2 linked regions of the Bombyx mori genome follow. The main gene of each other region encodes a partner of the protein of the gene in region 2 in a complex. Links are inferred from orthologs where the notes say so. Each region holds a gene or a part of one and is shown on either strand. Other genes may lie near its edges.

Region 1 (2,422 bases), on a different chromosome or scaffold from region 2:
TTTTGGTGGCTTTTCCGTTGTGTTGCTACTTATTCAATTTGTCCCCGATAAGACAGTAGTGCTTAACTGTACCCTCTATACTTGCATACTCCTATTAATGTTACACATTTATTTTGAAAAAGAATCATATAAATTTAAAAATAAAAGTAACACTGATATTTAGTAGCTTTCGTTTGCTTCGTGATTTTGTCAAACATTTAAATTTAAAGGTTCAAAATTAAAATGACCATAAAAATTCTGACTTAAATCTTTTATGGACCACAATTTGAAATCATTATGAACATATAAACTTGTAGGAGACAGGTATTATTTACTTTCTTTCAATTGTCACTACTTTCCAAAATATTAAAAACAAAAGCAAAAACTTTTATCAATTTCATTTACTATGAACAAAATGCATTCTGACATTTCTCAGTATGAAATGGGAGATTTCATAATAGCAATAAAGTTGAAATTTCCATTTTTAAACGCAAATAAAAAAAAATCCAATATATATTTATATTTTTGAACTTGTGTAAAAATAAAACAATCATAGATTATTCTCAATTCTTGTACTGTGTAATGTCAAAACTGGGTTTTACAAGCACTGTGTTATACGAGGGATGCCCATAATAATATATTATTATAATTTTACCTTCTGACATGAACTTTCATAATGGTCTACTCATTAAATACATGACAGTCAGCAAAATTTCAGAAACCCCTATTACCTCAATAAAATAGTGTAGCATTCTCCATTTCTGAATAATCAAAATTAAATATTGTTACTATTTTAAGTTTTGATTTTACTTTTCCATTACAAAGAAAATAAATTACTTTTTGTTAATCCTTCAGTTTCTTTCTGGGACAGAGGTACTAACATTAAGCCTGGAACTGGTGGTTGCATTTCCAGATCTCTCAATGTATTGACTTTGATTTTCAGGTCACTCCTCAATTTGTTTATGTCAATATTTAATTGTTTTTGATCGGCTTCCAGCAGAGTTTTAGTATCTTCAAACTTATGCTTTACGAGTATTGATCCCACCGTGAGCCAATATTTCTTCTGACTTGATTTAGTAAGATCTCTTAACGCTTCTCGATTTTTATTTCTTCGTTTATCTAGCATTATAATTTCATTTTTATCAACAAGAATATCAGATGCAAGTGTTTCTATTTGTTTTAAATACCTCAATAGTTTTTCTTGATTATTTACCATGTTTAGTGCATGTTTAATAACTTTTGTTCGTATTTTTAATTTTTAAACGAAGCCAGCTGATGTCACTTTTTTTTTTTAAGGGATTTTATGACCTGGTAACTGAGACCTTTAAGTCATGTCTTATTTTAATTTATATTCATATTTTTATGAAAAATGATATTATGGAGTGAAATGAGATGAAGACGACTAATTTAAGACATTAATCAACTGGGATGAAATTAAATGAAATGAAATGGGATGAAATATAATCTCAGTAAAATGGTGGTCATTCACTAAGATTTTTTCAGTGGACTTTTTGGAGGATCTCAAGAAGTTACGTCCATTGGCTTTGTTTCATTTTCCCACATTTGTGCACTTTCACAGATATTAAACAGTTAATAAACCACCATTATTACACATTTAAACCCGAAGAAACACTAAATAGAAAAAATAAAACAAATCACACAACTTCACTCCTGAAAAAATTTGGGACGGAACTTGAGAAGAGGGCCAATAAAAAATTTCATATCCTTTTTAATTAATTTAATTTGATATTCTGTAGATATTGTAGCATATTTTAGTTTATAACTGTATATATGTTTAGTTTATAATTGTATATTTTAGTACTTTAGTGTAGATAGTATGGAGTTGGAGGCGGGAACGGATCCCCCGGATCCGAATATTACTGAGGAGACAACTGATACGACTAACTCAAGGTTTAGCCAACCAATATTTTTCTGTGATGAGTTCGACCTTTCCAATGTATCTGAATTTGTCAACGTTAAATCGAAGAAATCCCAAAAAAAGAAACAACTTGTTAATTCTTTTAAACCAAAGATCTCGGACAAACAACTTTCGTTGCGCCCGCTGCAGCAGGCTTTGGCGGGAAATCTTGCAAATAACGTAAATAAGCTTATAGTGCCTCCTCGCCAAATTGTACAGACCTCACCAGAGCCTACTTCAGCGAGTCCTTCTATGACACCATCTGAGACCCCAATGGCTGACTCTGTTTACAGAAAAAAATACACTGAACAGGATCCCGGCCCATATATGGTCCATGTTACTTTAATCTCAGATTCTAATAGTACTACATCACTGCACCCACTTAAATTTGGAAATTTTCTAAAGAAAAGCAATCTTGGTAATATATTACAGGATGGAATTAAACGAGTAGGTCGTAATCGCCTGGCAATAACTTTTAAAACACATAGTGATGCCAATATTTTCATAGCCAACATGTCTATGAAT
Region 2 (3,765 bases):
CTCATCAATTTCAAAGAAATTACTGTTAGTATTCCTCTTTGATATTGCGAAGATGGCTGCCATCATAATACAAAATTCCCTTTGAAAATAGCAGTTGTAGATTGCAGAGGTTTATTTTAGTTTTTGTAACCGGCTTACAAGCATACGACCAGCCTGATGGTGAGTGGTTTCCGTCGCTCATGGACAGCAGCAAGCCCACAGCCAAGTTGCTGCCTACCTCAGAGTAACACCTTCAAGCCACGTTTGAAGAATGACATATCATAGTGCTCAGGAAGTACTGTGGAGTAGATTTAATTCCAGAGCCGGATGGTATGTGGCAAAAAGATATCTGGAAACGCACTGACGATGAACGCATGGTTCCACATAGTATGGATGAACAGTGTGCAGATAAGGTTTTCATGCATTTAATAAATATATATCGATATATGTACACATTAGGAAGTGGCTAGTTATGAAAATACCACTAAAGCTATATTTATACATTGAGTTTCCAAAATACAATCAAAACCACAAAGTTTTACAATTAAGGAGTAAAAACCAAGACACTTATTTTGCTCTCTATTTGGAGAAAAATGTGCATTCTCGAGTACTATGTAGGATACTTTTGATTAGTTAATGATACATACCCGCCTGTACAACAACAATAGCCCTATGAATATTCTCTTCTTGCATTCTTGTACAATATGTCTTTATAGTTTTTATACCAATTTTAGCTTCATCAGGAAAGAAAACAAACATCTGATCCGTTGGATCATCATTATGAGCCACTAACACAATCAAATCACTTCTTGCTGGTCTTTTCTCACTAAAAAAATTAAAATGCTGTATTAATTTCTAGATTTCTTTATAAATCAACTCAAAGTTGATGATTTTCATATTAATTTCATCATTAACCCACAGATTTCTATTGTTGGCCATGAGTTGAATGATCTGGTAACATAAATTTCCAATTATTCACACAGTAACTACATAATCATTTACTATAGAGGTAGTATTTACATTATTCTCTTTGACAACAATCATTTTTATAAGTCAAAGTGACATTTCATTGTGAAATATTTCGATGCTAAATTACACACTTTCAAGAATTTTGAAAGGACAGCTGAAGAAATGGAAATGTTAGATAATAAATTTAAAAACAGTCTAGTACATCGCTCTCTATCTCAGACAGCTCAGTTATATTTTGGTAAGTCAATTTAGTACACAATAATTTTGGTAGAAAACACTCATTATATTGTGATTCCTTAAAAGTTTGCCGACTTGTGCTGACTTTTCAAATTATGAACATTTTATTAAAAGGCTGTTAATGTTCCAAAAAAGTTTTTGAGCAATGAAACTGATGAAAGAAACTGAAAGTAAATTTAAAGATGTTAATAGTGAGAACCTATTAAATTTGGAGATTCCAATAAGCTTCTAAGAAAGATAACAAGTGTTAAGACAAAAACGTTGAATTGCTCTGTAGCTGGATCTGAAACTTAGCAGTACTACAATACCCCTGAACCAAAATGATGGGTCAGTAGTGTTTACAAATCCATATTTGTGTTTTGATTTCATACAAGAGACCTCACTTGCAGCTACTCAGTACTTCAAACTGGATTCAAATTATTCTGACTTGAAATTAAACAACTTGTACAATACATATGTAGGGACAAATTAACAAATTATTAAAAGTTAATTTAATGTTTGGACCATTGAGGCTGATTTGTTAAATATAAAAATATAAAAATTCAAGCTACCTACAATTAGCTTTAAACTGAATAACCCTAACATTATACATATGGATTGACAATGGAAAGATCTAAACATATTTTATTTTTGACAATATAAAACGGTACAGTGCTATCCCACCATAAAAAAACATGTAGCAGATTCAATTATAGTGGACAACTTTAAAATTACAACAAAATATAACAGTGAAAAGAAAATAGAAACGGGGTCTGCAAACTCCACTGATCTTGCTGATTAGTATTAACCGTTGCCAGATCTTCAATCCAGACGCATAAATGTGTCACTGCATGATAGTTTATTTAATACTGTATACGCAAATTATAAAATTAATAAATTTTTTGATGGATGCATTGCTCGTAGCCCGAAGTCCGAATGCCTTTCTGGCTACACTAGAGCGTATCAGATTAATAAGGTTATAAGAACAATAGTATACCTTGGTTTATCGCCAAACTGCTCTTTAAATTGTTCTAAAGTTTGGTCCAATTCATCTTGCGTGACTAAATATCCTCGGTCATGGCACAACTGTAAATATTATGCCTCGGTTACTGTTAGAATCCAACCAACAAGATGAATAGCATCAAATATAACCTCACCTGCATTACAGTTTTACGTATACGCCAGAGTTTGTAAGTTTCTGCGTCATCATCCATGTTTTATAATCTACTTAAAACTGATAAATCCCTTTCCTACAAACGATAATTTCATTGATTCTCTTGTTATAGCTAGGTATTATTACCTGTAAATCCTGTAATCATAAGTGTATAATCTATGCCTGTAATGTTTTTAAAGAATATTGTTTCTTTTGACAGAATACAGATACGCAAAGGAATCACAGTCCATACAATAGATTTTTTTATAGCAAAAGCCATTCATGTCTATCTTTTGAAAAATAATTGATCTTGGAATGAAAATTAATAACTTAAAATATTATTAATTGATGAGATATATACAGCACCGTAGTTGTTAGATGAGATGAAATTAATGAACCTCTCATTAACTGTTCGGAATTTACTGACAATTTAATAAATGAAAGAATCCGAGAAACTGAATTCGGCCACTTTATTCTGTTTTCAGCCCCCTTTTTCTAAAAACTATACGGTTAATATCCATTTTAAATCTTTAAGCTTTGTTGTTTTATCCATATTCAAAGGCAGTATTCTTGGAATTATTCATTTTTAATATATTGTCATCATATTTACATAAAATGAATCATGGTCTGCAATATCCCTTCCTATGGCAGACGCCATCGGAAAAAATGTGCCATGGTGGCAGCCTCCCGCTCCGGTCATGATAAAATAAACGCTTAGCTGGCAGGCGACCGGAACGGTCAGTAATTTGATGCCGCTGTTTTCATTCGAAAAGCGCACTTTAAAACACGTTCTGCAGTGTTCTAACGCATACAACTGCTAGAACGTTAAACAAAGACAAAATATAGACGCTTTCTTAAGTAAACTTACATATGTTTTTAAGAAAAAAAACCTCATTGTTCCGGACTTGCTAACGCGGAGTAGTTGGAAGTGTTTGTGCGTCTATTTTCAAGTGTTTTTAAGTGGTTGACGACAGTATAACGAGATAAAGTTTTGAAAAAGCGATGGAAAGGTATGTAATAAGCATATTTCTTTGTTTTTGTACGTGTTTTGACACGCTTTTCGTGGTAAAACATTGATATCTAACACCTACTCAGGCTTAGCACACGCTCATGTCGGCCAAACAAACCATTCATTTAGCACCAAATATTGGTAGATTTGTGTAATTTATGGAAACAATGAAATAATTACTTAACTATTAACCTTTTCCAAATTGTAAATTTATTCAAATCTTTCATTAATTAGAGAAATATCGAATAAAATAACACGCGTCCCTCCACTGACCGGACCGGGACGATGACAGTTAGGTTATTTCGGGCAACGCGGCCATTTTGTTCGCTCGCTATCATAATATGGATAAGACTATTGGATCTACTTTTATATGGTGTTTGGTTTGCTTTGACAAATAATTTGGAAAACTTTTTTTTTATTTCTTTCTTTTTTTATTCTT

Evidence for each region. The genes of interacting proteins can lie anywhere in the genome.
Region 1: DNA-directed RNA polymerases I, II, and III subunit RPABC1 (region 2) and p53 and DNA damage-regulated protein 1 share a complex: the UniProt entries of both Homo sapiens proteins name them as parts of the PAQosome complex. The link is inferred for Bombyx mori from reciprocal best matches to the Homo sapiens genes POLR2E and PDRG1.

What each region holds. Positions count from the first base shown.
Region 1 is NC_085121.1:8,869,209-8,871,630, forward strand, and holds p53 and DNA damage-regulated protein 1, read right to left. Parts: upstream 1,281-2,422; 5' UTR 1,196-1,280; coding exon 797-1,195; 3' UTR 537-796; downstream 1-536. UniProt on the Homo sapiens protein: May play a role in chaperone-mediated protein folding.
Region 2 is NC_085125.1:6,611,446-6,615,210, reverse strand, and holds the start of DNA-directed RNA polymerases I, II, and III subunit RPABC1, read right to left. Parts: upstream 2,574-3,765; 5' UTR 2,379-2,573; coding exon 2,322-2,378; intron 2,251-2,321; coding exon 2,162-2,250; intron 1,189-2,161; coding exon of another isoform or gene 1,111-1,188; exon of another isoform or gene 1,061-1,110; intron 806-1,060; coding exon 627-805; intron 1-626. Other genes in the region: piggyBac transposable element-derived protein 4-like, read left to right, coding at 3,320-3,327; leptin receptor gene-related protein, read left to right, coding at 1,111-1,188. UniProt on the Homo sapiens protein: DNA-dependent RNA polymerase catalyzes the transcription of DNA into RNA using the four ribonucleoside triphosphates as substrates.